4 linked regions of the Alligator mississippiensis genome follow. The main gene of each other region encodes a partner of the protein of the gene in region 4 in a complex. Links are inferred from orthologs where the notes say so. Each region holds a gene or a part of one and is shown on either strand. Other genes may lie near its edges. The genes, in order: RAB11FIP3, MYO5A, SH3BP5 and RAB11A.

The links.
Region 1: the proteins of RAB11A (region 4) and RAB11FIP3 are in contact, whole or in part, in a crystal structure (PDB 2HV8), measured with the Homo sapiens proteins. The link is inferred for Alligator mississippiensis from reciprocal best matches to the Homo sapiens genes RAB11A and RAB11FIP3. Residues at the interface, in NP_004654.1 of Homo sapiens: Arg33, Ile44, Gly45, Val46, Glu47, Phe48, Ala49, Thr50, Trp65, Arg72, Arg74, Ala75, Ile76, Ala79, Tyr80, Arg82; in NP_055515.1 of Homo sapiens: Asn731, Phe732, Gln735, Ile738, Asp739, Arg740, Ile742, Val743, Met746, Glu747, Pro750, Ser751, Leu753, Glu754, Val755, Lys756.
Region 2: the proteins of RAB11A (region 4) and MYO5A are in contact, whole or in part, in a crystal structure (PDB 5JCZ), measured with the Homo sapiens proteins. The link is inferred for Alligator mississippiensis from reciprocal best matches to the Homo sapiens genes RAB11A and MYO5A. Residues at the interface, in NP_004654.1 of Homo sapiens: Arg33, Glu35, Ile44, Gly45, Val46, Glu47, Phe48, Ala49, Thr50, Gln63, Trp65, Gln70, Tyr73, Ala75, Ile76, Ala79, Arg82; in NP_001369276.1 of Homo sapiens: Ile1660, Gln1661, Trp1738, Met1742, Arg1745, Tyr1746, Ser1749, Gln1750, Glu1753, Arg1756, Gln1777, Gln1780, Val1781, Lys1782, Lys1784, Met1795, Glu1818.
Region 3: the proteins of RAB11A (region 4) and SH3BP5 are in contact, whole or in part, in a crystal structure (PDB 6IXV), measured with the Homo sapiens proteins. The link is inferred for Alligator mississippiensis from reciprocal best matches to the Homo sapiens genes RAB11A and SH3BP5. Residues at the interface, in NP_004654.1 of Homo sapiens: Tyr8, Asp9, Tyr10, Leu11, Lys13, Glu35, Phe36, Asn37, Leu38, Glu39, Ser40, Ser42, Thr43, Ile44, Phe48, Lys58, Gln63, Trp65, Tyr73, Ile76, Ala79, Arg82, Gly83; in NP_004835.2 of Homo sapiens: Asp42, Ile45, Gln46, Leu49, Glu50, Asn53, Thr56, Ile59, Asn60, Glu63, Thr64, Glu67, Lys240, Tyr243, Leu247, Leu250, Glu251, Ile253, Ser254, Asp255, Ile257, His258, Arg261.

Annotation. Positions count from the first base shown.
Region 1 is NC_081836.1:26,509,116-26,516,593, reverse strand, and holds the start of RAB11FIP3 (rab11 family-interacting protein 3), read right to left. Parts: upstream 3,224-7,478; 5' UTR 2,721-3,223; coding exon 2,142-2,720; intron 1-2,141. UniProt on the Homo sapiens protein: Downstream effector molecule for Rab11 GTPase which is involved in endocytic trafficking, cytokinesis and intracellular ciliogenesis by participating in membrane delivery. Recruited by Rab11 to endosomes where it links Rab11 to dynein motor complex.
Region 2 is NC_081834.1:23,337,271-23,345,110, forward strand, and holds the start of MYO5A (unconventional myosin-Va), read right to left. Parts: upstream 3,153-7,840; 5' UTR 3,054-3,152; coding exon 3,027-3,053; intron 1-3,026. UniProt on the Homo sapiens protein: Processive actin-based motor that can move in large steps approximating the 36-nm pseudo-repeat of the actin filament. Can hydrolyze ATP in the presence of actin, which is essential for its function as a motor protein. Involved in melanosome transport.
Region 3 is NC_081828.1:140,206,066-140,213,484, forward strand, and holds the start of SH3BP5 (SH3 domain-binding protein 5), read right to left. Parts: upstream 3,205-7,419; 5' UTR 2,986-3,204; coding exon 2,881-2,985; intron 1-2,880. UniProt on the Homo sapiens protein: Functions as a guanine nucleotide exchange factor (GEF) with specificity for RAB11A and RAB25. Inhibits the auto- and transphosphorylation activity of BTK. Plays a negative regulatory role in BTK-related cytoplasmic signaling in B-cells.
Region 4 is NC_081834.1:5,472,765-5,480,479, reverse strand, and holds the start of RAB11A (ras-related protein Rab-11A), read left to right. Parts: upstream 1-4,675; 5' UTR 4,676-4,794; coding exon 4,795-4,834; intron 4,835-7,715. UniProt on the Homo sapiens protein: The small GTPases Rab are key regulators of intracellular membrane trafficking, from the formation of transport vesicles to their fusion with membranes.

The sequences.
Region 1 (7,478 bases), on a different chromosome or scaffold from region 4:
TAAGTCAACCTCCTGTCTTTGGGGTGAATGATTCTTTACAGCCCCCAAGAGATAAAGTAGTAGCAAGTCCATGGGATTTAAGTGGATGGCTTTCCTGGGAATGAGTTCTCAAACTTATAAATCTGCATACAGGTATATTACTCATTTAATGATGCAATAAAGATGGCAAATGCCATTCATGCACATCCTTTCCTAGAGCATCTCTCAGATTTAAGGAGTCTTCCCTGTGATTTGAAAATTTAAAGGATATGTTGTTGGCTTGTTAGAAAATATCCATAAGAGAGTGAATGAGATTAATTTCTTACACTTTGAAATAAACCAAAAGCTTCCTCTGCTTGAAATGCACACACAAATTCAAGATAGTATTTGCTGTTTCATGACACTATGTATTGTGTGCATGCCAGGTGCGTACAAGGAACTGGCTGACTTGCCTCACTTAAGCTCGCAGCTCTTTTAAGATCTACACAGAGCCAAAACCACATTATTATTTGGAATACAGTTTGGGATTGTGACAGTATCAGTGCAAGCCAAGGTTGAAAGAGCAACTAATTTATTTTTGTCCTCTTCTATATAATGTCAACCATTAGCTCTCTACATTTTGAGTCAGACCAGGTGGCTTCATATTACATCACCACATTTGAGCTGCTACAAGAGCATAAATTGAAATCCAAGCTTGCCATGGTACAATACAACGGAAGGCAAAAAAAAGAAGGCTATTTTAAAAAACGGAAAAAGAAGAAAAACAGAAGAGAAAAATCATGCCTGCCAGAAATGGAGCTACTTGATGCTCAGTAATCGCATATATGGTCACATGTACAAGAAAAATAGTGGCCATAAGCACAAAACATCCATGGTTTATAAGTATTGTAATAGTGACCAACTGCTTAACATCTGCTTGATCTGCATTGTTTTATTTGCTTTGAAGAACACAGAAATCAATAAAAGTGGAGTTCCCTTTTAAATGAATGGACAGGCTTTCCAGCCAGCTAGCTTCCTCGACACACTGCAAGCTTTCAAACTAGCATAGGCCTCTGTGCCTATGCCTCTTTCAAACCCACTGATGTCCTTCATCTGAAGAGGCCTGGATAGGCCAAAAGCTTAAAATTACTCTACGGCACTAAATTTGCTCAGGTTAACACACTGTTTCAAAGACCACTCAACCATATCTGGAGTACAACTGCCAAATTTTCTTGTTTTAATCCTTTTCTTCAGCGATATTTCTTAAGACAATACATACGCACTTGACAATTTTCATTATTTTGATGTTCAAGGGACCTAGAATAAGATGCCAACTTATCCAAGCCCCACCTTAAGAGGAGGGTCTTTACCCAAATACTTAGCCTAGGTGAATGGTCTAATAGAAAGGTTAACCTAAGCAAACAATAGCATCTAAAATATAAAAGGCTGATTTCATGGAGGAAGATATTGCCAAATTGACTTCCAGAGAGTAGGGAGCTCTCCACCTGGTCACAGATGCACACATCCTTCTTCACCTGTAGAACTGCTAAGGGAGCTCTCTTTTCACCAGTCAGGCCCCTGTCCGTGTTATCAGCGCTCAGTAACTCTTTATTCCATTAGGCTGGAACGTGACACATGCCAAGCCAACAGGAACAGGTGCAAAGCATGAAGGGCCAATGAACCCAAGAAAACCGTGAATGGGGTTAGGATTCTAAAAGTCTGTCTTTGCTTCCCTACCCAAGTGGCAGAAATAAAACTAATGTTTAAAATGCATCAATTTAAAACAAGGTTTAAGAACCAGGATATCAAACTGTCTTCCTTGCATCTAAAAATTACATGAAATTAGAGCAGCACCTAGTTTTACACACCATGCCACAGACCAGGACAACAGAAGGAGCGTAACAGTGCCAGGGCCACTGTCCCTTTTGTCACTCTATGGTGCCCATCCTAAAGCAAAAGCAGCAATGCTGATCAAAGTCAATGGGAGTGCTGCCCACCTGGGGCCCCCACTCCCACCTAAATAGCTGCTCAGGATAACATTGTTTCGTTATGAACAGCAGGTTACCTCATATGAGAGCAAGGTATTTGAACACCAGAACTAAGCACCCCAAAGCCCTTCAGGCAACCTCCACAGGTCCCCCACGCCAGCCCGGCTCGAATCCAGGGGCCTGGCCATAGGTTACCTGCTCTGCTCCATAGACGGTGGCAAACTGAACAAACTCCTCTATCCGGACAAAACCGTCCCCATCGCGGTCCAGGGCATCGAAGACGGCTCGCAGGCGAGGCCCCTCCTCGGGGCAGGCCGGGGGCTCGCCGGGGGCCTGCTCGGGCTGGCAAGCAGCGCGGGGGGGCAGCGGGTCCATGTCGCCGCCCGGCCGGGGGCCGCAGCCGGGGTCCTGCGCGCTCGGGGGCGGCCGGCAGCCCGGGGCCGGGCTCCACAGGGGCGCAGGCGAGAGGCGTCCGCCCGGGGGCTCCGGGCTCCCGAGGCCTCCTCCCTCCTCGAGCCCCTCCGAGCTCTGGGGCGCCGGTGCCGGGCGCGGGAGGAGCTGCTGCTGCCGCGAGACCGAATCCGAGCCGCCGCCGCCGCCGGGCCGGGCGCGCTCATCACCGCCGCGGGCCGCAGCCGCCGGCGCTCCCGGGCCGCCCATTGGCTCCGCGCGGGGGCCGCGCCCGGCGGGCCGGGCCGGGGCCGGGGCCGGCGGCACCTGCTCCCCCGGCGTCAGGAGCGGGTCCGGGAGCAGCAGGAGCGGGTCCGGCTCCATGGGCCCGGGCCCCGGCCCCCCCACTCCGTCGGGCTTGGGCTCGGGAGCCCTCAGCGGCTACTGCGGCCCGGGCCGCGCGGGGCCGAGCGGGCGCGGGGCGCGGGCGCTGCCGGCCCTTGCGCAGCCGAGGAGCCGCCTGGGGACCGGGGCCGGGGCGCGGCGGCGCTGCCATGTCCCGCACCCATCCCCGCCGCCGCCGCCCTCACATCCCGCGGGGCCGGGCCGGGCCGGGCCGGGCCGGGCAATGCCGCTGCCGAGGACTGGTGCTGCTGCAGCGGGGCTCGGCGAAGGGGGCCGCCCGCCCTGCTCTGCTTCGCTCGGCTCCGGCTCCGCTGCGCTGCGGCTCCTCCCGCCGCCGGGGAGGGCTTTGTCCGCGCGGCGCAGGCTCCTCCCGTCGCTGTCGCCGGGCGCAGCCCGGACCGGGGGCGCACGGGGCGGGCCCGGGCACACGCACACGCCGTGCCCGGGGGACGGGGACGGGGTCGGGGTCGGGGTCGGGGACCGCCCGGCCCGGCCCGCGCTGATGCGGATGCGGCGGCGCTCGGCCCCGAGCCGCCCGCGGTGACGTCACCGCCCGCGGCCCCGCCAGACCTCTCCTCCCCCGCCGGGCCGGGGACTCCTCCTCGCCGCGCTGTGCACGGGCCGGAGCCGGGCAGAGTCGGCTCCCTTCAGAGCAAGGCGATAGTAATCACTGGGCGCGACTACACGTGCATTAATGCGCCTTAGTTAACCCACATCAAATCTGGTACCTCCGGGGACCTAGGGCATTTGTACATATGCTTGCGCTGCAGCACCAGGGGCTTTTAAAAGCACAGTTGTACAAACAGCAAAATGCGCATCAGCACATAAAATGGCAGCTTTTGAACTAAAGTGCATCACTGCCATTTTCTGTACACTGACACTTACACAACTGCATGCGACAGTGCAGTCTGTGTCAGCTCAATTAATTAAGTCTGCTCCAACCCGCCAGATCTCTGATGCATGGGAGGATAAAAGTTATGGGTATAAATGCCCCTGAACCACAGCCACACCCTGGAATTACACCAGGTTGGCACAGACTCAATCAAGCGTGGTCATTACTCACTTCAGCAGCCTCCTGCATCTGGTGTATCAGCATCCCTGCTTAAAAATGGCGGTGGGGTGGTAGAACTAAAGCTCACTGAACGAGCTTTAGTTCAAAGTGCCCTGCCACCATATTCCAGCATGGGGTACACTGATACACGTGATGCTCAGGGGCTTTTAATTGGCACTGCTCATGAATTAAAGTACACACACCCCCACGCCTCCCAGAACACGTGTAAAAATGCCCCACGGGTTTTTTTTAGTGACACTTTAAAGCACATTAAAATAGGCTAATGTGCATTAAAGCACACATGTAGATGCATCCACTGAGATGCAATTCCTTGAGAGATGGGGAGCGGGCATAGATAGCCACCTCCTGGAGGCTAGATAGGACCTCCCTGCAGCAATGCTGCTACCTGGATCCTGAGAGGATTTAGGGGGCGCAGAACTCTCTACACTTTAAATGCTGGAGGCTGCAAGCGAGAGAGGAACAGTAGAAAAAAACTCAATTCACTCCCTCCCCCTTTCAGCATCTACTCCCTACCACACTGACGCAGGACATGGGGCAGGATGGACCTGTGGTCTGGCCCAGTCAATGGCAGCTCTTAATAAATACTTCTAACAAAGTTAAAATATTAACTTGATATTTGTTAAATTTTAAAGTGAAGCTTCATTTTGCTCATGAGAGGCAAGAATTTCTTAGGGTGATCTCTTTTCCTGGACTAACTGCATAGTTGACATAGAGTTAGACAAGATTTCTAACACAAGACCTCCTTCTTCAGGTCAGGAACATATTCTGCACTGAGAAAAAGTTGTCTTAAGCAATTGTCCCAATAAAAGACCATCCAAGGAAATCCTTGCCTCTCACATAATTCCTGGACAATCACAGCTACAAGGTAATAATAAAACTGATTCTTATTTAGGAATTCAAGCATCAGAGCAATATTGACAAATCAACTTTCCTTAATAGCAAAATAAGGGCTCAGATGTCACTCCTTCAACTGACAGACCTATAGTAGGGTTCTCACATTTGGGCTCCCTAGGGACATGCAACATTTTCCATACTGCTATATGGGAGACCATGGGCAAATCTAGGATTTTGAAAAGGGGTGTACATAGTGAGGTGCATCATCACATATAACATGACACATACTTTTCTCCAGGTAAAAAGAAACAGGAAGCTTTGCTAATACACTGGGACCTAGGGCTGTATTTTTCAGGTTAAGATTGATGCAAAAACACACAACTTTATTGGAATGAGTTAAAAAAAGTCTGCAAAATGGTAAAATAGGAGCCACATTACCAGGAGCACCTAACAGAGAGCAGAATTGCAGAAGAAAAGCTAGCTTGATTAGTGGAACATCAAGACCATTAAAAAGGAAAGAGGGTTATTAGCATCTGTGGAATGAAGAGTTCAGAAAGAATCAGGTAGATTACAATGAGCCATGAACTCAACTGACTCCCTCACTGCTGCCTGAATAGAAATGCTGCTACCACTGCAGTCAGTTGGTTTCAAACATTGGGTACAGCAGCAATCAAAGTGGGGTACAACTCTGCACCCCCCTGGATCTGCCTCTGGGGGAAATTTACAGTTAGAACCCAACCAAAAGAGATTAGCCCCATATAGATGATGTCAAGAACCATTGGCCTGAAGTCAACACTTATCTCGGTGCTCAAGTATGTTATCACTAATGTAAAGACATAAAATTGACAATATAGTATTATTTTGTTGGTGAAATATTTATATTATAGCAGACTTAATGCCCAGTTTTTTATTCCTTATTGTCTCAAATAAGAATAAATATTATTGTGATAAGGATTAAAGAACTGAGCAATATGTCCATTGTACATAAATATTTTATCAGCAAAATAATAGAGTGTTTTCAACATTCCTTGAGTTCATCTTGGCCAAATATGAATTATTTGGCAAAATTCATTACATAAAGAATTATTGTAAAGATATTTTGTATTAATGAGTGTTCTGTTAATGCATGGTAATCATTCAGGGGTTTAGGTTGTAGCCATGTTGGTCTAAGGACATAGGCAGACAAGGTTCCTTGGGTGAATTTGATATCTTTTATTAGACCAACCCAAATGGTTGGAGAATAGTTATTGAGCAAGCTTTCGGGTTCAAAAACCCTTCATCAGGCTAAGGAAGCTGCAGCAGTTGGTGTGTGCTCTTCCTGGATGGAATCTGGTAATCATTCATAAATTCATGCAGAATTCATAAAGTGAATAACATTTGCAAATATCATTGCATTTGTGCAGCTCCCAGGCAAGCAAGGATCTCAAACATCAAATTTCATGACAGGCAGCAAGTTACCTATTGTTTTCAGTGTCATCAGGGTGACAATCTATACATGTCCTTGTAAGGTGGATTATTCCTGTTACTTCCATCCTATATAGGGCTGAATGTGCATAACAGGAGAAAGTACACTTTTCATCTGGGAGTCCATTTCCATTTGGCAAAAATATAGTTTACTATGAATTATTGTATTTAATCCATTTATTAATAAGCTTAATCTACAATCCTGCAAATACTGAGCTATATGAGTAACTCTACACGGGGGTACTTCTCACGGAGTTCATTTCAACTGTTGGTATGGGCAAAGTAACACATGCACCTGAGAGCATCACTACCTGGGAAAGTTACATTACTATAAGCTGAAGTGCATATTTAAAGCACTACAGTTATACTGGCATACCTCCCAATATGGACACACTGGGTGCATCTACACCTGCACTTTACTGCAGAGTAGACTAATTAGCTGTGCAGTAAAGCGTCACTGTCTACATGTGTGCCAGTATTAAGGCACAGAAAACTAATCAGCTCCACTGTAAGATAGTACTGTCAGAGATAGTAATGTCTTATATCAGGGTAATTTACTGTGCTGCAAAGCACATGTAGATACTGACCACAGGCATCAATTGCACCTGATTGGTCCAGCCAGCTGGGGGCCTGCTCCAGCCTGGCTGGCTGCTGTTCCATGCACATATGTAGATGCTGTGTCTGGGAACAGTTTACTACAGCTCAAACTGCTCCAGAGTTTATTGTTTTGCATTAATTGCATATGGAGATGTACTCAGGTTATGGCTAGGTTCATGGGGAGCTGGGCTCAAATAGGACAGTGGCAGCACTGGCAGGTAGATTGCTCCCCTCTGCCCAATCCTTTGGTGTTCCCTGATAGCCTGGGAGCAGGTACATGGAAGGGAAACCTGCTTCCCAGTGCCCCTGCTATCCCAGGCTGAGCCCAGCACCCTGTACACCCTGGCTGGCAAAGAGCAGGAGCACCTCTAGAACTCCCTCCACCTGCAGGGCAGCCAGAGACAGCATAAATAACAGCAGTGGTGAGTGGGAGTTGTGGGAAATAAGAGAGGAGGGAAGGTGCCATTAAGTGTAGAGGGGAGAGAAGGGGGTGTCAAGAAGGGAGAAAGTTCTTACCTAATTCATAAAAAATGTCCCCAGCAGCTTCTCCCATGGCATGGTCTCCCCACCCCAGTGTAGAGGGGAAAGAAGTTGAGAGCAGGTTTGCAGCAAACTATGCAGCACCAGCCCCTGCTTCCATACCTTCTTTACCAAATCCTGGATTCTCACCTAGTTTTGGATTGGCTCTTCTCCCATTGAACTTCCTTACTTATTTTATTGGGAGCAAAGTTAATCTGTTGTCTGATTTTTCGATTTTATAGTCGGCTCCA
Region 2 (7,840 bases), about 18 Mb from region 4:
AGAGATGTAAAAACTAGTTTTTCTGGACTACACATGGCTTTAATAGAGGAGAGAATAATCTGTTCTAGCTCATAAAGAATAGGAACAATCTTCAGAAAGTGAACACTGGAATAAGTTTATTACCTAGTCCTCTACTGGGGGACTATATGCTGCACTTGTTTTATTATACAGGACCGTTGCCCACTATCTTAAAGTCATTATGTTCCTTATTTAGTAAGTTTACTCTACTGTTCTTATTCACTAAATAAAACATCTAAAAATTGGAAAACAGAGGTGGGAGGACATATATATGACAAAAACTGAGATGATGAATGGAAGAAAACAAAAATTCTCTCTCCTCCAGCAATCAGGAGACCTTCAAGTCTATTATATGCTCATGTACCATCACCCTCTTCAGGAGCTGATAAAGGCTGCTAAGCTGTCATAAGGGCGCTGTCCCAGAACGACAGGAAATCTAGTCCTTTCTAGCAGCCTAGTAAAAAGTTGGCCTACACAAGGTAGGAAGGGTGTGAATTTAAAGCAGGATAGCTATTCCTGTTTAACTCTGGATACGAACATATAATCAAGTTAGTGGAAGATGCACGTGGGTGGAAATTTACAGTGTTTTCATTGCTCCATGACTAACCACCTCTTTCTAGAGTAACCGTTCATCTATCTGAACAAATCTGTCCTGCAGTAAATGAACGCTAGTCTTCTATAGGTTAGTCCAGTGGTTCTCAACCTTTTTCAACTTGATGTTCCCATTGATAGGTTGGAGACACCCCTCATAAAATACCAGCTTTGAGCTTTCACTTGTTTTTTGACTACAGAAAAATAAGAGAACAATTCTGCTGTTGCACAGAACTCAGACAAAGACTACAACAGGCTAGAATGTTTTTAACACTGTGGATTCCAATTTGAAAACTCTGGGTTTATCTTGTAAATCATGTTTGCACACTTAACAGTGCTAGCATTGTGTGGCACCCTGGTTGAGAATCACCAGAGTAGTTTAAGGATAAAGTGACATGGGCTAGTGTTCAGTTATTATGCACAATACATGCACAAAGGCCACTACCATGGAACAGCTGAAACACTGCAATACCCTGCTGACACTTATCTAGTGTTAACTTAATCAAGTGTCTATACTTTCCCATTTTGAACATTTTTATTGTGGAATAAAAGCATCTGCACAATTTGTTAATCAGGAATAGCTATTCTTAAATATATACAAGGACAAATAGATGTCTAGTGAATTTTTTAAGGCCAGCTGTGCCCACACTTCCTTTGACCAGAATGCTTATTTTCATTTGTTTATGCAGATACATTTAATATAAGCAGCTGTCTAGAACAGTGGTGTTCAGCCTTTTTTCTCCTTGGTGGGCTGGACGGGCAGTGCTCAGTTTGTCCAAGGGCAGGATGTGGCCAATGGCCTTGATCCAGCACCCAGGGTGGATGCAGCGGGGCTCCATCCAGTCATTCAGAGGAGACCAGTGGGGCTGCCCAGCCTGATCCAGGCCCATGGCAGGAAAGGGGCATGGCTTGGCACTGATCAAGCCACATGGAGAGATGAGGGCACGGCCCAGCTCCATTCACTTGGCAGAGGGAAGAGGGCAATGCCCGCCCCAGATCTGGCTGTGCTGGTGGAAGAGGCATGGGAATTTGGCAGTGAGTGATAGTTTGGGACTGGCCAGTAATGCTTACAAATGGGTCCTGATACTGAAAGAGGTTGAGAACCACTGGTCTAGAGCACCTCGGTCTATCATCAACTAACCATCACCTCCACAATTTTTTTTCAGTCTCTCATTTATGTGATTGGTCCAGTCTCTGGCCAAGAGCCAGCTTTTCCCATAACACACACTGTTTAGAGTTGGCCTATGAAACACGTCAACATTGTATCAAGAATTTGGTTTGTATTGACTCATCATCCTCAAAAGGGATTACCCATTGTATATCCATGGGCAGTTACTGCAAACACGGTGAAAGAATCATCCAGTGCAGAAATACTCTCTTTTCATATTCCCTACTTACACGAGTAACTAGCTGGACCGTAACTGATGTTATAAAGCAATGGAAAATTCGAGACTGGACACCATTTAATAAAATATGCCCAAACTCAACCTGAAATTACAAACTTGATACAATAAGATTGATAAAATTCAATGGCATGGGGTCATACCTAATGACTACAATGGCCCTTTCTGCCAGAAAAAAAAGAAAAGAAAAATCAGTGATCAATAGTTTTGCTGCAGGTACACACACACACACACACGAGACACTTTACTGCTAATGCATAAAATGTGCATTGCAATGGACCTTAATCCTGTCGGTCAGTAACACACGTATGCAGCGCTTCTGCACTGATCTCCGCAGTTCACACGGAGAGGTAGTAAAATTCACCCTAAACTATATTAAGAGATTGACTGAAAAGTGGCCCTACAAAGAGTCCCCTTCCTGCATCAGTGCTGGCAGCAGGGATCTCAGCCAGGCAGAAGGCAAGGAGGATCGTAGCCTACCATTACCCACAGAGATTCCCCGCAAGGCTGCAACGGCTCAGCCCCGTCTCCCATGCCTGTTTCGGCAGAACAGTTCTGAAGAAGCGAGACTGGTTTTAGACAACAGCAGGAAGGTGGATTTTGGAAACGAGAGAAACCCCAAGGGTCGGCAGGCGAGGGGTTGTGGATGAGACCTGCGGCCAGCGGCTGCTGCTGGCGGGCGGTGCTGGAGGCCGGGTCTGCCCGCGCGCCGGACCTGCAGGGGACCCGGCCGGGAAGGATCCCCCCCCGCGCAGCCCGCCGGGCCCGAGAGGATGCAAACGCGCGGCGGAGCCGGCACCCCCGAGCCCGCGATGCCGCGGCGGGAAGGGCCGGGAGCGGCGGCTGCGGCAGGGCGGGGCAGATACCCCCCACCCCACCCCCCGCTTCCCGGCCCGGGTGTGGGGGAGGCGACCGGGAGGGGAGCGGCGGCGCTGCCGCCATCGGCCGCGGATGCCTGAAGGACACACACACACACGGCATCTCCTCCCCTCCCCGCCCGGCGCGGCCCCTCACCTTGGTGTAGAGCTCGGACGCGGCCATGATGCCGCCCGGGCGGGCGGGCGGGCGGGCGCGGGGGATGCTGATGCCGATGCCGATGCCGACGCTAAGGCGGGGCGGGGCGGGGCGGGGGAGCCGGCGCTACCTGTGCGGCGCGGCGCGGCCGGCCCCGGCCCGGTGCATTGTGGGAAGGCGGCGCTGGGCGGGGGTGCGGGCGGCGCGACGCTGAGCGCGGCCTCGGCCTCGGCCTGGGGCCCTGTCTCCTGGGGCGCCGCCCTGGCACTGCACGGCCCGCCTGGCCTGCTGTCCCGCGCCGGACGGGCTCGTCCCTCAGCTCGGGGCGGCGCACACCGCCGCCCACGGCCTCCCGACCGTGAAATCGGTTGGCGGGTGGAGCCGCGCCGGTCCAAGCACGCGGGCGGACGAGGTGCTTTGGGGAAAGGTGATGTCTTTTGTTAGACCGGCTGAATAGTTGGAAAAATAGTTGGTCGCAGGCTTTCGGGCATCCTTCTCCGGGCATGTCCAGGCTCCCGGGGAAGATCAGGGGGAGGGAAAACAAAACAGAAAGGGGGAGGATGTTGCAGCGTCGTCTTCTTACCAGTCCGCTCCTCTGTAGCCCTGCCTGTACCTCCCGTCCCCGCATCTTCCCTGCCACACATTTGTATTTTCACAGACCTGCATTTTTCATATTGGCTTAATCTTCTAGTCCACCCAGGAGAGCAGACACCCGCCGACTCTCCTTAGGCCTGAAGAAAAGTGTTTCTGCCCCAAAGAACATTTTTTTCCAACCATTTAGTTGGTCTAATAAAAGCGACCACGTTTACCCAAAGAACCTTGTCTGCCTTGAGCGTGTATCAACGTTTCATAGAAGTAGGATACTGGCTGCTGTGGTCCATTTTACCAGTGGCAGGTTCGCGTTTGGTCTGCGTGGCATCAGGGCGGACAGTAGCCTGATATCAAGCTTAGATGATAAATTGTATGGGATGGATTGGATGGGGCTGATCCTGCCTCAGGAAGGGGCACGATTTCTGCAAGTCCCTTCCACCCCTATTTCTCTATTATGCACCTTTTAAACACCAATTCTCGCCTGTGTCACGATCATTCTCGAGGTGAAACCCACAGGCCATATCTGTGTGGTGTCAGGTGCAAATCCTGCAATCATCCACTCCCCTGTCCAAATGGCCACTGCCAAAGCCACTTGCATTGATATATAGGCACCTCCCAGGCAAGGGAGCAGACCAACCCTGGCGGATGCTTACAGAAAATGGTTCCAGGCAAGTGCAGGCAGGGACATTGAGGCCTCCTGGTAGAGGGAAGTCTGTGCCAACCCTTTTTGCTTCAGCATTGCACATGCTTCAGCCTAAGACCACTGAAGGGTTAAAAAATTCAGACAGACCTTTTGGCAGTTAAATTTTTGTTACAAATTCATTTCCCCATGATTTGAGACCGCTATAAAAGCATAGCCTTAGGGCACATCTGTGCAGCAGTTTCACTGCTCCCATCTTTATTTTTGTTTTAAATTCACTGGGAGAAGGAACTAGAATTTCACTGGAGATAGCCCATGATTTTTTTCTAGCTGTTCCCCAACTCCTTGAGGGATACAAATGGTACATAGTATCCTTTCTTCCTTCTGGGATCAATTCTGCAGATTCTCTTCATTGTGGTAATCCTGTAATTGCCAACCGCAAGAGTGGTCTGGAGGTCAGCTACAGGAGGCCAATGAAAGTAACCAAAAAGCCAAAGTAGAAAACTAGCAAAAGCCTATTAATCAGGGATGAGGGCAATAGAGAAGTGTGGGGGGAATCTGACAACTTGTGAGGGGACGTGCTTCCTCCACAAATGCTCTTAACATTCTTTGCCATGGCCGAAACATTATAATAATTTTACAGCAGTTTGCTAGGCACAGATAAGAATTCACACTCAGCATCCAGAAAGGCTTACACTCCAGTTTCAGACTGGATGCAGAAATAGGGGCAGAGAATAAATTACAAACAGTTTTGGCAGTGATGTTAAGGAGAGAGAGGTCAGCAAAGTCTGTGAAGGTGAGTGCATGCTGTGAAGCTACTCTATATAAAGGCAAATACGTAGTTGGTTAGCTTCTTGCATTGCAAAGCAAGCGAGCCTTCATGGAGGATTTGAATGTGGATGGGCTAGTGGTCCTATAGGCCAGTTCAGAACAGGCCAGAGCAGCATACAAAAAAAGATGATTATAGGAAAAGACAACTGGGACATGAAGGAAGGTATTATGGACCAAATAGAGCAGTAGGTGAAGGCATAAGGTCAGGCTAGGAAGGACAGCCAAGAGGATCAAAAACACAAGGATTGGGAGAGTGATATAGTAAGAACAAGCAAAAAAATATCAGTAACAGATTTTTTTAATAGACTGGAGAGGGAGGAAGCTGAGCTTTTGAAAAGGGAGTTGTCCTTTGCTCCAATGCTCTATGGTCAATAAACATCACAAATAAATATTAATTTTTCCAGGATCAGTTTAAGCTGTAATTGGTGTCTTCTTTCTCTCAATGTTTACAATGGTCTTTTCCTCATCAATATATCCAGTATCTTAAGCTTCCGTGAATGTCCTACTTCTTTAGAGCCTGTACCTTTTCCCTCCTGGCCATGTGACATGCCCTCAGGTTTTTTTTCCTTATCTGTCATCACTGACATCATCATTTGTCTCAAGTGTGACTCTCATCCTTCACTTGATATTTATTTATTATAAGAACTTAAAAATTTTTGTATGCGCCTGCTCTCACCCAACATCCACCGTGCTGCTTTGGGATAATGCAAATGCTAAATCCACACTGCTGCTTTCACTAGCGTGCTTGGACTGTGGATTATTGTATCAGCCATTCACAGCTGGAGCCCTGGATTCAAATGGAATTATAATCACGAGTCAAAAATAGATATGTCTATCCAAAATACTCCTGTCTCAACATTATTCAGCACAAAACTGAAATCTCAGGTCTGTCGTTAAAGGTCAGATTTTAAAGACAGTGACAAAATAGATACAGCCTTCCTGTACTACACCTATAAGTAACCAGTCATGCTCCTTAACCATCGGTCTAACTAAATAGATTTAAAAAAAAACAACCCCCAAAGAAATCTGTCTATCTTAAAAAAAAAAATTCAGAGCTGATGAAAGGATTTCAGAATACAAGTATCACAGTTAACATTTACAAATGTAACTAACCTAGCTGTGATAACATCCATATACAATATTGTATACTGATTTTAAATGACATCAGCAAAGAAAATTATCCTTTCAGAACTTTAAAATGGGGAAGGATTCAGCAGAATTTGTTCAAGAAAGTCTTTGGAATTTCTACCCATGTTATAGTTTAGTTTAAGGGACCAGATCCTTAGACATGGGTAGACATTTTATGCCATACTACAACTGATGATTTCTTTAGCTGATCAAATGGTTACTCCAAAAAAGGAATAATATAGTAACACAGAATCAATGCCTGCTGCTGGCATAATGGGCACAGGTAGGAAAAGATGGCAGGTTTTTTTAGGTAACATTAAGTCTCTTCCAAATTCAGCTAGAAACAGCTTTTTCTTGTTTTAGAGATAGATGCACTACTGGCATCTTTACCATAGATTTAATTTTATATCAGGAGTAATTGGGAGTGCTTAACTAACTTTAAGGTTAGTTAACATAATGAGTTCTAGACATACCTGCAATGCAAAGGTTGCTTTGAAAAAAACCCATAATTTTCATTCATGCCATATAAGAATTTAAAAATACACTGTTAAAGCCTTTCTTCATAGTTTACTAAAGAACTTGCATAAGATGCAAGTCCTTCATAGAGCAAAAGGCATTACAACTCTCCATAGCATATTATTTTGTGATAGAGTCAAATACTAGAAATAACTCCTGAAGAATTTGCTAATTAATTAGGTTGGGATAGAATCAAAAGCAAGTAACATGCATATAAACTTGGTAAAGGTTGTTAATCCTCTTCCAATCAAAGTTTAGAACAAATCTTTCAGGGGACATTGTGACTAACTAAACATCTACAAGATACAAGTGACAAATGGTGATAAGTAACAAAGAGGTGTTCATTACTTGATACCTTGTTGCATAGTAATTTTGGGCAGCTCTTGGAGCTCTTAACCCTCCCGGACTGTCTGCACATTAACATTTTGAAGTGGTTTTAAGCACTTATTATGCAGCTCAAAATTACGCTACTCCAGGGCAGGATTCTTTCCGATTCACACAACTCAGCTCCTGTTCCATTAAGGTGTGGCCAGTCCCAACAGATGTGCTGCCCAAGTTGCAGTCCTTCAGCAAGGATGGAAGTGTTCCTGGCTCACCATCCCTCTAGTAGCTACAGCTCCTAGTCCTGCACCTGCTCACCAGGCCTCCTAGTGGCAAGTCACAGCTGTGCAGGTGGGGCACAGTCAGAGAAGATTTCATGACTGCGTGTGACAGCTCTAAATTCCAAGCTAGCACTAACACCAATCAATGTTTGTGCAACTCAGTACAAGGTGTAACATGGCAGTTTCACACAAGAGAAGTCACAAGTCTTTCAGCATGTACATGGAAAGCAACATACAAATCCATAATCAAAACAAACCCTCAGCTGGACAATTGCTTGTTGCATCTCCCCTAGATATGGCAATGTAGTTGCAATGTGAATCTGTCCTTTCAAAGTGTTACAGAAGCTTCTGTTATATGAAGCTGATTCTCCCAGCAAAAGTATGCTTAACTGGTACACCACTTTTATTCAGGTTCTGATACCAAAGATCCCATCTCCAAACCCCAGATTTTTGGTGATTTACAGACCATACCTTTAGGTTTTAGTTTGCCAATACTAGTATTATTC
Region 3 (7,419 bases), on a different chromosome or scaffold from region 4:
AAGGTACAGTTGGCCGTCCTGACCGCGTCTCCACACGGTCAGCCCATGTTCATTTTGGCATCAATAATGACACCAAGATCCTTTTCTGCCTCTGCACTGACGAGAAGGGAGTTCCCCGGCCTGTAGGTATGCTGCTGGTTCTTCCTCCCCAGGTGCAGAACCTTGCACTTGCCAGTGTTGAAACCCATCCTGTTCTCATCTGCCCACCACAGTAACCTGTCCAGGTCCGATTACAGCCTATTCCTCCCTTCTAGCATGCCCACTTCTCCCCACATCTTAGTGTCGTCTGCAAATTTGAACAGGGTGCTTTTTACACCCCCGTCCAAGTCACTGATGAAGATGTTGAACAGTGCAGGCCCAGGGACCGAGCCCTGCAGGACCCACTGCCCACATCCCTCCAGGTTGAAAATGACCCGTCCACCACCACTCTCTGGGTGCGGCCCTCCAGCCAACTAGTGATCCATTTGACTGTGTAGGTGTCGATGCCACAGTCCCCTAGTTTTTTAATAAGAATGAACTGAAAACAGAGATACGAGACCTAAGAAGAATCTGCCATTCAAACTCAATGTCTAACTAGAAAAAAGATATAAAAGTACAGAAACATTTTTAAGTACTCTAATTTCAAGAAAGTATATGCCTTGTCCTGAATAATTTTTATTTAGTATAAATATTGCATATAATAACCTTTGTCTCATTACATAAAATTTGGTTAGCTCCCAGGGAAGCAGTTTTTAGGACGAGGCCATTTGCTTTCACAGTAGTAGGGAAGGAGATTTTGTGCGCACACACAAAATCTTATGAAAATATTCCTCACAAGCATGTATAGTAATTTGCAAAGGAACTTATCCTGCAATCCTGCAATACCTCAGAGGCTGTTAGGTGGATATTTTGGTTAAAGGACACAACTGTTTGTAACACCAAGTCGATTAGGCCAGACGTTCTTTGGTTACCTTTTATTCCAAAAATTGCTCGTCCAAAAAAAACAAAAACTGAAGTATCAATCCATAAATTAAATATTTGCTATTGGTGGCTTTAGTATGAATGAATAGGAGGCAAGACTTATTACACAACCACAGATCATTCTTCTTGACATTCCTCCCTAAGAGCTATCCCTCTAGGCCATGTTCTGCTATCCTTACTTATCTGAGCAATAACATTTACTCCTTGCATGGCCGGAGCATGACTCTCCAGTCAAGCACTATTCTCTATGAATCCAAGTATCAAAACCAGGTCTTAAATAGTCAATTTTATCAATGAAATGGCATCATAAATCAAACACTTTTTTTTTTCTTTCTTTTTTTTAAACAAGAATTATTCTGGTTACAACCAAAAAACTAAAAAGGTTGGTTCTGACAATTCAGCTGTCAGGTTATGCCAGACTACCAGCACTTTAAAGACAATTTCCTTCTATTAAACAGTTTATTGACACACCAACCTCACACTGCTCTTTCATGATAAAGAGTTGTCTCTCGAATGTTAGAACAACAGGCATTTAACCGGATTACAAAAATTTAACCAGATAACCAAAAAAAGCATGCAATTTCATTAACAGCATTCAATCAGGCTCCCAGGGATCTGATAAATGGAGGCACGTTCCAAATCAAGGAACCTAAGGCTAAAATTGAAGTCAATGGGAGCTAGGGGAGAAAATCAAGCCATTTACACACACATGCTGAGAGGGGCTGTAAGCTTGGACCTATCTTTGGGCAACTGTGCTTGCAAATTCTGCCATAATTCTGAACATCTCTAGGGAAAAAAAAGATTTTTTTTTTATCTCTATCAAGGCCAAATGAGTTGGAAATTTAAATGGGCAAAGTCCAATACTCAAGTTCCAAAATTCAACTGAGCAGAACTCATTTGCCAAGCCTGTGTGGCTCTACCATCCAGCAAGTATCCTCTCTCCCAGTCCGATTGGTCTGGGGCTCCAGAGACCCCCCCAAATCCAGACAGGCATCCTACATACAAGCCCTAGGCCTAGGTGTTGGGGTTCAGACACCGCTTGTCTTGCTTGATTTTAACCAAAAGGTCAAGACAAAAGTAGCAGCCCATGATACCCTGCAGCCAGGCCCCGAACCTGCAAAGACTTCCAGGGGTAGGCAACCACCGGCACGGGTGCCCAAGTGCGGCACGTTTTTGCTTGGCACACATGCCTCTGGGTGGATGGCAGGGAAGGGGCCAGGGCTGTGCTGCCACAACAAGGATCAGGCCCCTCGCAGCTCCCCTGCAATCTGCCCAGGCATGCCAACATCTGACAAGCCAAGTTTGCGGGCATTTTTGACACTGTCCAAAAACATTGCTGACCCCTGACCTAGGCCTTCGCAGGCACAGCAAGCGATCCAACTGGTGTCAGCAGCCGGCACATTTAAGCCAAGGGGTGGCTTGTTGCAGGACGACGACTTGTGCAAACGTCCTGCCAGGCGAGTGGCCGAGGCACGGAGCTGAGGTGACCTGCTCCGCAGGGAGGGGAGGGGAGGGGAAGAAAAAAAAACGAAGAAGAGAGGAGCATTTTAAGGACACCCCAAGAGAGCCAAGCCAAAGGGCTTCTTCGTCCTGAAAGCGCCTTAACAACGTAGGAAATTCTCTTGCTAAACGAAGCAGATTGTGGGGGGAGGGGGGAATATACCCATTTCCACCCCCAGCTCCATGCTGAGCCCCTCTCGGGCACTGCCTGGCCCGGAGCGGCGCGGCGCGGCGCGGCGTCCGGGGGGAGAAAGCGGCAGAGCATCTCCACCCCAGTGAGGAGATGTCCACCCAAGGCGGCGGGACGGGGCCGCAGGCAGGGCCCGGGCGGAGGAGCGCTGCAGCGGGCGGGGGCGCGGCGCGAGGGGCCGGGGCCGGGGCCGGGGCCGCAGTGTGTGGGGCTCAGCCCCGCCGCCCTACCTGGATCCTGGGGTCCACCTCCTCCTCCTCCGCCGCCACCGCCGCCGCCTCCTGCGGGAGATCGCCCTCCTCCCCCGGCCGGCTCCGCCGCGCTGCGGGCTCCATGGGGCCGCCGCCCACGCACCAGCAGCAGCAGCGCGGGGGAAAGGCGCCTCGCCTCGCCTCGCCTCGCCCCGCCGCTGTCACCGCGCTCCGGCCTCCGCCTCCTGCTTGCCGCCCCGATCGGGGGAGGGAAGCGGCGGCGCTCGGCTCCTCCCTCCCTCCGCCAGCGCTCCCCCCTCAGGGGCGGGCAGCGCGGGGTGCGGCGCCCTCGCCCTCGCCCGGCTCCCTGCTCCGGCGCGCGGGGGAGCCCGGCTGGGAGGGATGACCCCCCCGCAGCGGGAGCCCGCCCGTGCCCGGAGGGGAGGGGTCGCACGCCAGGCTCGGCCCGGCAGGCCACGCCCCACTGCCCGCGTCCCCGCGGATCGCACCAGGGGACGGAGCCGCGGGCTGCGAGAGACCTCAGAGGGCCTCTCGGACACCCCCTGCTCACAGCGGGACCCAACTAAATCAGCCCGGTCGAGGCTTTGTCCAGCTGGGTCTTCAAACCTCCGAGGAGGGAGATTGCACCACCTCTCTGGGTAGCCTGCTCCAGTGTTTTACCACTATCCTAGTGAGACAGTTTTCCTGATATCCAACCTAAACTCCCCTTGCTGCAACTGGAGACCCTCGCTCCTTGTTTTGCCATCTACCACCAGGGTGGCCATCGTAGCCCGGTTGTCCTCTATTGATACAAAGCCCAACGCCTTTCTGTCCTCTGTTTTCTCTTCAAGAAAGATACATCCCTGCTGCTGCATCTCACCACCCGCACTCCCATTCTCCGAATCCCAGTCCCACCCACGGGTGGGCTAGTGGGTAGATAGGTGCTGGCCGGCTTCCCTTTCCCCTGCCCTGGCTGAAGACTACTTGCCGCCAGGGGGGCAGGATTGTGTTGGCATGAGGACAACCAGGGCAGTATTCACCTTCTTGGGTTCCTGAGTGGGGGTTCAAGCCAAGGCACCAGCAGATGAAGAGATTTTTCCCCCCTCTATTCAGCGCTGGTGAGGCCTCATGTGGAGTCCTGTGTCTGGTTTTCAAGAGAAAAATAGAGGACATAAAGGCCTCCGGTTTCATCTCAATAGAGGAGAGAGTAGCAGAACACCAGAATGTCCTCTATGATGGCCACCCTATCTGCCACCACTAAGAACAGTCCAGCTCCATCCTCCTTGGAGCCACCCTTCAGGTACTTAAAGGTTACTATCAAATCCTCACTCTGTCTTCTCTTCTCCAGAAAAGCCCAGTTCCCTCAGCTTCTCCTCATAAGTCATGTCCCTCAGCTCCCGAACCATTTTGGTTGCCCTCTGCTGGACTTCCTCCACTTTCTCCACATTCTGCAGTGGGGGGCTCAAAACTGGACACGGGTGTAGCCAGATGTAGCCTCACCAGTGCTGAAGAAGGGGGGGGGGGGCGGGAATCCCTTAATCTGCTGGTATCTTGGCTTGAACCCACCTCCCCCCGAAACCCAAGAAGGTGAATTCTGCACTGGGCGTCCTCATGCCAACACCCCAGCAAGTAGCCTCCAGTCAGGGCAGGGAGAAAGGGAAGCTGGCCAACACCTACCTACCCACTAGCCCACCCATGGGTGGGACTAGGATTCAGAGAAGGGGAGTGCGGATGGTGAGATGCATCAGCAGGGATGAAACAACACAGATTTGTTTTTCCCCCAATTGAAAATAAGCTGAAAATAAGCCTAGGGCTGTGTTACTCAGTTTGAGATGGAAGCAGGAACAGGTCTAGTTACATTGGAATGAGTCAAAAACAATCTGCAGGGCTGGGAAAGAGGAGCTTCATAACCAGGAGCAGCTAACAGACAGCATGAATGGCAGAACAGGTGGAGCATCAAGACCACTGAAAAGGAGAGAGGGTTCTTAACACCTGTGGAACAAAGCATTTAGAAAGGATCAGGTAGATTGTAATCAGACATGAAGTCAATGGATTTTCTCAGCACTCCCCAACTAGAAAGGCTGCTGCCACTGCCAGGCTGTTGGTTTTCAACCTTAGGTGGAACAGAAAGCAAATGCACCAGTACAACCCCCTGAATCCACCCTGAGCCCACCTCAGTCAGCTATGAACTACTTTTAAATGCCAGGAGGGACCTTATCACAAGCACTCTCTGTGCTTTTCCTGTTTTTATTTCAAGTCAGATACTGCTATGAAAAGGGGACCTTTATTGTTCAGACAAACCTCACTCATTGCTCTTCCACTAGATGAAGTTTTAAACCAGTTTGTGATAAATAACCAATTGCCCACACCCTTGTGCTGCCAACAAAGCTTAGTGGCTTCAGGTGCAGGAAAGTGCACTTTATAATCGAATAGCCTCCTTTCTACCTCAGGCACTGTTTATGAACTCACTGTGTTTTAAATGTATTGGCAAAAAAACACTTCTGGCAACCTTGAAAATTCAATCAAAAGCAGGTTTCTATTGTGTGGCAGCTGAATCAAGAGCTATTGTATCTAGTGCATGCATCAAAACAAAGAAAACGCCAAAAACCTGTGCTTGCCCTCATTGTGTCAGTAGAAAGGAAACATTCTTGCAAAGCCCTGGTGGCATGTAAAAATAAAGCTCCTGACTGATATAGCAATAGCAAGACATGTAATAGCTCAGAGATTTAAACATTAGATTAGACACTCCTTAACTGCAGGATTATTAGAATAATAGAATCATAGAAATTTAGGGCTGGAAGGGACCTCAAGAGGTCTAGTCCAACCCCCTGGTCAAAGCAGGACCATCCCCAACTAGATTATCCCAGTCAAACCTTTGTCTAGCCAGGTCTTAAAAATTTTAAGGATGGAGATTCAACCACCTCTCTGGGTAACCTGTTCCCATGTTTTACTACCCTTCTACTGAGGTTTTTCCTAATGTGTAACCTAAACTCCCCTTGCTGCAACTTGAGACCATTGCTCCTTGTTCTGTCATCACTGAGAACAATCCAGCTCCATCCTCTTTTGAACCACCCTTCAGGTAGTTGAAGGCTGCTATTAAATCCCCCCCTCCTGTCTTCTATTCTCTAGACTAAATAAGCCCAGTTCCCTCAGTCTCTCCTCAGAAATCATGTGCCCCAGCTCCCTAACCATTTTTGTTGCCCTCCGCTGGACTCTTTCCAATTGGTCCACATCCTTTCTGTAGTGGGGGGCCCAAAACTGGACACAGTACTCCAGATGTGCTCTCACCAGTGCCAAACAGAGGGGAATAATCACTTCTCTTGATCTGCTAGCAACACACCTTCCTAGCAGATTGGTGCTAATTCTGCATTGGGAAATGCAGCACAGTAAAAACCATGATGGGTATCCTGGAACTCTGGCTCTCTGTCCCCTTTTCCTAAGATATGGCTGAGCCTCCTGTTTGAAGGCAGGAGGAAAGGAGTACTTTTCAGAACTATGAATCCCATTTTCCCCTTCTCATAGTCCAACCTGACAGATGAAAAGCAAAAGAAATTCCTCACACCCTAATAACTTAAAGGCGACATAGTTAGAAAAAATGTGTTTACTGTGATTTTTTTTAATATTGTTATAGTAAATATCATTTAAAAAAAAGAAGAAATTGGCAGAGAGCTTTTTTTCCTTTTATTTTTTCCTTAAAAGTATCCGTTCCTAATTTAGCCACTTGTTAGCTGAAGGACTGTTCAAAGGTGATCATCAAAGGTCCTTTAAAAAATGGGGCTGCAGCCTTCATAAAAGTGCCTTTCTTTGCAAGAGACTCCCAAAGGGCTGTGAAAGCTGTTACTCCTGTCCTCCCAGCAAAGCAAGACAAGGTAAAACATAATAATAATATCCTGAAGGCTTAAAGTGAAAGGGGGGATATTGGGTATTACACTTAACATTCAAACTTTCCTTTTGAAAAATCAGGAAAAAAAGATGGGGGTGGGGCAGGTGGTGACAAAATATTTTATATTCTGTTACAAATATTATATGTCTTTGAAGTGACACTGGCAGCCTAAAATACTGACAAACAAAGGTGCTGCTGTACAATGAAAACAGAAAGGTAACATATAGGTGGATTGTTTGAAGCTTCTTGGATAGTTTTGCACAGTAGAAGATTCCACCAATATTTCTGATACTAGTATAAACAAACAAGATAGCTATGGCCTGAAAGAAGCTCAAAGCACCCCAAATTCCTAGAAAAGTTCATAAGGAAATCTACATGGAAAACCCCCTCAGATCTCAAAGTAGCTGTGTGTAGGGTCAGCACTCTTGCCAGGTTTTTTATTCCCTTTATTTATTTATTTATTTATTTATTTATTTAATAGCCATACAGGTCCCTTATCTCTAGCTGCAGAGCACATACTATGAAAAGAAGCTTGAAAGCTCAGAGCACAATCAATGAGAAGTAAGTCTGACAGGCCCAGAAGTAACTTCCACTATCTTCCCAAGGAGTCTTCCGGCAAACAATACTGCATAACATGGCTCTTCCTCAGCTTCAGCTTCTCCCCACCAAACTCATAAATGTGTCCGAATTGCTTA
Region 4 (7,715 bases):
GCAGGGCCTGATGAGTTCAACACCCCGGATTCAGGGAAACAATTAATCTAGAGAGCCAACACTTTCTGGACCACTCCCTCCAAGCTTTCTCCAGCTGGGATGTATACTACATTTTTTGGTGTATAAGATACATTCCTCAAAGGGATTGTTGCAGAGAGTATTGCAGAAACATTTTGTTTTTACTTACATCAGCTTGAATCTATCAACCTTTAATACAATAATTTTAATTAATTTTCATTGCATAGCTTTAAGGTATAAGACACCTTCATTATAGGTCTCCATTTCACGGGAAAATGTATCTTGTTGGTCAGAAAATACAGTAGATATATTTGGTAAGGGGAAAATGGTCGTAGGATAATATCAGATTCGAGTCCCATGTTGTCAAAACCCCACAACTTGGGTAGAAGTAGGCTGATCTAATGTCCTGGATCAGATCCATCTCTTGTTATATGAACAGTAGAAGCAGGACGGGAAGAGAGTTTATAGCAATTCAGATAGACTTTCAGTAGAAAAATCTCTCCCTGCTCTGTGCTTTTTTTATAATGCCCACTTCAACCAGGAAACACCATGAAGGGAAGGACTTCAAGTACATTGCAGTCCTTTAAATTCAGTAAGGTCTGCTTAAAAAGGGAAGTCTGTTATTTAAACTGTCGGGTTTTATACTCTCTCCAGAGTGACTAATGTTGGGCTGGGGCTGGTGATGCCGAAAGTGACTCCTTCTCTTTTATAATTTACAGCCTTGATTGGAAAGCTCAGTGAATTATCTCTGCATAATTGCAATGATTCATTGCTTGTTAGAAAATTGGAAAGTATTGATTGGATTTCCCCCCTAGGAAATATTTCTCCTCTGGAAGAGCAGGGTAGGTTGCCTTTGCTCTGCTTTTGTCTTTCCTGCTTGTTAATAGAGGAAGCCTGTGGTCTCTGATCTGAGAAACAGGAATTTGGGTCAGCAGCCAGGCAAGGACAATGGTGAATTATTGTCACTTGCTGCTCCAGATCATTCTCTGAACTGCTCTCTGATGCGTTTTGCATGGATTGGAAATGTAGAGCCAGAAAACCTGCAGCCAACAACAGCAGTACTGAGTTGCCGACGTCCATTCCAGTTCCTTCAGCTCCCACCTCGAGTCACTCTGCACACCCCCGGGAGCCTGACGATCAAATCGGGGCCCTGCTTAGGTCAATGGCAAAGCTCCCGTTTGGTTTAATGGAGCTAGGAACCTACCTGAAAGCCTGGGCTTTGGGCCCTCTTTTAGGGCATATAGTAAAAAATGCGGGCACCAAGTCCAGCATCAAATGCCCCTTCCATGTTATTTATGCTCCTAATACGTCTCATTTGCATGATAGGGTCATGCCTGTACACATAGCTCATGCATGTACACATGAATAGTGCTGCTGCAGTTGCCTGTTTCAGCAGCTAGCGGCTGAGTTTCCAGAAATGGCTGTAAACATAGCTATGACTATGCCCCCTGCTTCTCTCCCGCATCAGACACTTGAGACCTATCTGAACCCCAACCCTTGTCTGCGCTCCAGACATGTGGGGTGTCTCTCAGCTGCTCATTGCAGAGAAGCATGTTTCTGTCTCAGCAAGGAATGTGAACCTGGGTGCAGCTGGGGGTTTTCCCCTGTAGCACTTGCACAAGACTGAAGCTCGTGGCACTAACTGGGTACAGCAACATAGGGAAGGGTACTGAGTCATCCCCCCCACATGCTCCCAATCCCTGACCTGCAGAAGCCTCTGTGATTGCAGCTCGGAGCATACATGCCCCGGGGCTGTGAGTGTACCTCATTGCTAACACACTGGAGCCCAGATAACCCACCCCTGGGTCGCCCAGTGCCGCACTGCTGCACCCTCTCCTTGGCTTGCACCACCCGTCCCATGCAAGTGGACTGTGTTACCAGGCCTCCCCCCACAGGAACGCCGACGTTTTGGTGCAGTGAAGGGATGCATTACAGCACGTGGAAAATGTACATACAAGGTACTTTTGAGATCAACTGGTAAATAAGAACGCCATTAATAAAGAAACCCACACAGGAAAAACTTCTCTTGAGTAGGAGAGCTCATCTAGCTTTCCATAGCAATGACAGTCTTTTAAAGCGTGAAATTAAGTTTCTGAAGTTCCAAGTTAAGAGACGAGTCTTCGTAACGACCAAGTTACAAAGAGAGCCCCACAAACTCTTGGTCACCCCACGGCAAGTCCAGGGGTTCATCACAATGGTGCAGTCCTTAATCCCTAGGTCCAGCACCAGAGCTGACCATAAATAAACTCATCGTTTGCTCAACTACATCTATTTTAAAAGCACGTCTTTTATGCTCTTAAATATAAAATATATATAAAATATATATTATAAAAACATGATCTATATATTCTATACTGAAGACCACAATCCTTACAATCACATGCATGACAAAATGAACATTATGACAAGCACCCCATTGGAGGCTGGCACTTTGCCAGCCTGCAAGGGAAAAGCCACGGTTTCCCACCTTTTTCTCCTTTAAAAGAGAACCCATTTTTAACTTTTTCACATATTCTTGCGACTCACGTTTGGGTGGCGACCCATGGGTTGAGACACACTGCCCTACAGAACAAGCACACGTGGGACCATATCCAGGCAGGCGTGTTTGCTTTAGGCAGAGCTCATGCCCTACATGGTTTGCCTTTTGTGTAGCCTTATCTGTCGGTAGCAAAAGGGTCTAATCTCCCCTACCGCACCCTGCTGCTCTGTCTTGCAGGAGGGAGTCTCCCATCCTCGCAGAGCTCGCTTGCACGGCTGCCCTGCAGCTCAGCCCGACACGGGGCCGCTCGCTCTCCCCGCGTGCTCACACCACCTCCCTGAGGCCTCAGCCGTCCCACTCGTGAGAGGGTAACACTTTAGGCCAGTGGTTCCCAGCCTTTTCAGACACGAGGCAGACTCCAGGCATCCCCGGGACAACACCAGCTCTTCGTTTGCACTCTGTTTTGACTACAGAAAAATTTGACGCCACTCAAGGCAGCGATTCCCTGGGCAACTTCCATACCCACCACTCCCAGCCTGGACAGCTGCTGGGCCGCCAGCCACGGCCACTGCTCTTCAGCCTCAGCCCCGCGCGCCCAGAGGAGCCCCCAGCGTTACCCCAGAGCGCTGCGCTCCTTGCTGGGCTGCAGCCGGCTGCCCCGTCCCATCCCGTCTCTGCTTCACACGTCTCCGGAGGGGCCGAGCTGGAATAGCGGGTGTCCCGCCTGTACGGGCCCAGCTCCTCCGGGCTACACTTATCCTAAATAATAAGGAAAAGGGACCACGATAGACTGTCCTCTGCCCTACCTCCATTCTTCTTCTGGGCTTACTTTAGCCCAGCCTGATGCTGGTGTCGTCTGCTCCCTCCTGCTCCGTGACCTTCCCTTTCTCCACACGCGCGGCCCCTCTGCCAAGCACATCATGCTGCCCCTTCCTAAACCCACGGTGCGTCCACGCCCTGGCTGCTGCGCTCAGCTCTAGGCCCAGACCTGGAGAAGGTGCGGAGGAGGGCGAGGAGGAGGATCCGTGGCACCGAGCGGGCCGACAAGGCGCTTGGTGGCGAAGGGACAGTCCGTGGGGACTGACCGTTGACGCCCCTTACCGGACCAGACCGGAGCCGGGCGCTGCGCGGAGGAGCACGCGCTCAGCTGAAAACGCAGCAGCTCTTGTTCACACGGCGCCGAGTCCAGGGGGTGTCGCTGCCACCCACGGGGGGGTGTGGGGGTCCGGGGGGGTCTGGCTGCCACCGACGGCGGGTGTGGGGGTCCGGCTGCCACTGCCGGTGGGGTGTGGGGGTCTGGGAGGGGGGTCTGGCTGCCACCGACAGGGGGTGTGTGGGGTCTGGGGGGGGTCTGGCTGCCACCGACGGGGGGTGTGGGGGGTCTGGGGGGGGGGGTCTGGCTGCCACTGATGGGGGGGTGTGGGGGTCCAGGGGGATGTTGCTACCACTGACAGGGGGGTGTGGGGGGTCTGGGGGGGGGTCTGGCTGCCACCGATGGGGGGGTGTGGGGGTCCAGGGGGATGTCGCTACCACCGACGGGGGGGTGTGTGGCTGCCACCGACAGGGGGTGTGGGGGGTCCGGCTGCCACTGCCGGGGGGGGGGGGGGGGTGTGGGGGTCCAGGGGATGTCGCTACCACCGACGGGGGTGCGTGGGGGCCCGGGGGCGGGGTCTGCCTGCCACAGCGGGGGGGGGGCGCGTGGGTATCAGCAGTAAGCTGCACGTGTCTGGGAGTGAAGTGAAAGGTTGAGTGCCGCGCGCGGGGCAATGCAGTGTAGTGCAGTGCCGTGCACTGGGGTTTCCCTCCCCCGCCCCGCGCTGCCCCGCCGAGGTGAGGGCGCGCAGCGGCCCCGTCGGACCGGCTGGGGGGGGGGGTGGGGGGGGAATCGAGGGAAAAAGATCAGGTTCCACCGAGATTTGAACTCGGATCGCTGGATTCAGAGTCCAGAGTGCTAACCATTACACCATGGAACCGCCTGACGCAGGCGCGCCCCGCCCGCCTCTAGAGCTTCCCGCGCCGGCTCCCTGCACACGCGTAGTAGCGTCTGCCCCGCCCCCCACCCTGCACGGGCAGCCTGGGGGGGCGGGGGCAGGCGCCCCGGAAGCAGTACCGGCAGCCACGCCCCCTCGCCGGCCCGGTGACCCCAGAAGCGCCTGTGGAGGAGGAGGCGGGTGTGGGGGGGCTCAGAGCGGAAGTGCCGCAGCGCCAGGGCGGGGCCCCGCGTCCGGCTCCTCAGTCCCCGGCGGCGGCGGCTCGGCTCGGCTCAGCTCGGCTTGGCTCCGCTCCCCCTCGGCACCATGGGCACCCGCGACGACGAGTACGACTATCTCTTCAAAGGTAAGGGCCGCGCCGGGGGGCATGTCCCCTCCCGCCCGGCCTGCGGGCCCGGCTCCCCGCACCGGGCGCGGGGCGGCGCCGGCAAAGGCGGCTCCCAGGGCCTGGGCTGGGCCCTGCGCTGGCGGCGGCGGGATGGGGTGGGGTCCCTCTACCTACCTACCCACCCACCCACCCACCTACCTACCTACCTGCACACACAGGGGTAGACACACGCACCCCCAGGGTAAGTCTCCCCGGCCTCCTCCTGCACTCCCTGGGCGGGCTGCCTGTCTACCCCCCCCCCTTTTTGGACCTATATACGTGTGTACACACACACCCAGCCCACTTTTTTTATTACACATATATATTCGCAAGCTGTTGTGAGCTGCAGCTTATTTCACCAGCTGCTGCAAAAGGGTGGGTAAAAAGCAGAGTGCGAGGAGAGAAATTAGACTAGGTGGGGACAGAGAAGGGGGGAGGGGAGGGAAGGGGCTGGGCCTGGACAGACAACCCTCAGACCTGTAGGACCAAGGGTAGAGTCCCCCTCTGCCTGAAGAAGGGCGTTTGTGCCCGAAAACTTGCGAAGAACAACTTTTGCAGCTGCTTAGTTGGGTAGATGTGATGTCGTCTATTAGACCCAAGAGCCCTGTCCGTCCAGGCGCGAGGGTGCCTCCCGCGTGGAGCCGGGCCGCGGGGTAAGACTAGTTACCCCTGCGCAGGCCTTGCAGCAGATGCTTCTTGCTTCCAAGCAGGATGATTAGAAACAAGGAATGACTCACTTTTTAAGGCAAAAGAGTTATCACGAGCTTGTATTTTATGGCTTCTTTTGCAAGGCTGCTGGTCTGTTCCCAAAGTGCGGGGGCCGCTGTGAAAACGTTAGGATGAGCAAAGATTGGTGGTGATGGTGGACAGGGTCTTGCACAGTTAAACGGTGCGTCCCTGAGCCTGGCTAAACTCCTGTTTGGGTCCGGTACTGGTGTGACACATGTATCTCGGTGCAGTAGAGTACGTTGTGTTACTTACCTGGCACTGCCTTTCTGCACTTGCACACCCACCGATCTCACTTCCTGTCGTCTCGCTTCGCGCGGCTCCCAGGAGAGCAGGGCAGCGCTGCCCAGGAGCTATGCAACTTCTTTTTTTGGTAGTTCGCTTGAACTTTATCACAGCGTAATATAAATGCTCTACTTCAAGTTCCACTTTCCATCACGTAAAAAAAAAATCAGCAATCTGTTGCAAATGTTCGCCAGAAACGCTGTAAAAGCATGCAGTTGAAGATAAGTTTGAGGTTACTTACTGCTTCAGCTAGCATTGAAAAATCAGTAGCTTGAAAAATATTTTAAGACCAGTGTGGAGTTAGAAGCAGATTTTCAGGAGACTATTAACTGCAAGCAGCTATATCTAGAATATTATTTTATCCCCTGTGTAGCGAAGGGGATGTTAGTTGGAGCAGATGCCGTATGGCAAAGGGGGAGTACAGAGTTCTTTGCTGTGCGTGTTTGTTTTTACCTGCTTGAAACCCAGCAAATGAAAATTGTCATTATTCATTTGGTTCATTTTCATTTGGAAAATGGCTTTCCTTACCCCCCCCCCAGCCTTTGATGGTGCTAATCCAGATTGAATTTTATTAGTAGATGTTAATTACATTTGAAACAAAGCCAGGGGGCCTGATTTCAACAGTTGTCCCATGTCAGTCTTACAGCCCAAGTTGCAACATGCCTATAGATAAGTCTTTTCTCGTCATTAAGGTAGATTTGCTTTTGGTGCATTCCCATTTACACTGGGAAATCACCAACTTCTACAAAATGATGTGTAAAGTGGACATATGAAAACGTGTCATCTTTACATCTTCTGTTTACATAAGACCGATGATAGTTGGCTTAAGGTAGCTGTTGGACATAAAATTAGAGGCAAATCGGGTTGAAAATGGTGGTTCTTATGGTATGAGCCCCACATGCTACAGTTCCAACTGAATCGGAGGATTTATAGCAAAACGGCTATCCCCTGACTGTTGAATGCCTAGGACATGCGGTTTGTCCCCATGACAATGCTGTACTACACAGTGGGCTGTAGGAAAGGCAGTGATGTCCCAGGGACTTGGAGCGTGAATCCCAAAAAACAGACATGGTCTATGTACCCTTGTCTGTCTGTGTCACATCACAAATATTTTTCCCCAGAAAAGTGAGGTTAAAAAAAACATGGTGGCATAACTAATACACTAATTCAGGGTGGCTTCTGAATTTCGTAATGTCGCTTTCTGACCTGGATTATAGAACCTGATGTAATCTAAAATATCAAGGAGGTACCCTAGACAATCTCAACTGGCTTTAACTTGTTTGTGTCTTTTTTTTTTCCCTTGTGTTTTGGATATTATGTAATCGTTAGAAGGTTTGGCTGCAGTGTTGGTTACACCTTCTGCGAAACTCCAAATTTGAGACAAGTGAACCAACAAACTCGCTTCTCATTTCTGACAATCAACTGATTTAAATATGCCAGGCCAGAGGAGTTGTACTTCCTTCCTTCTTTGCATCTTACTCATTTTTCCAGCTTTATTACTAAATCAAAAAAACTCCTCTGAAACTGGACAAACTCGCTGGTCTGGATTTCACACAATGCACTGTTGTCTCATATTTGCTCTGTTTATAGGAAAAACCCATCTCCTAAAAGCTTCTGGGTTTTTTAGCCTGCTAGTAAGCCCTAGATCAGAGGCTCTTTTTCCATTACAAATTAAGGTATTTCCCTCTGATGTAGTTTAATTACTGTCTCCTTTGGATTTAAGCTTGGAGAAATAGATTAGTAGCAGTATCTTTCCAGCATTTGTATTCCAGTATCTTTCCTTCTTGCATACTCTTGGAGGGCTCCTCCCATGTTTCAGAGGGATAAAAATGTGTAGGTACAGGGCTTC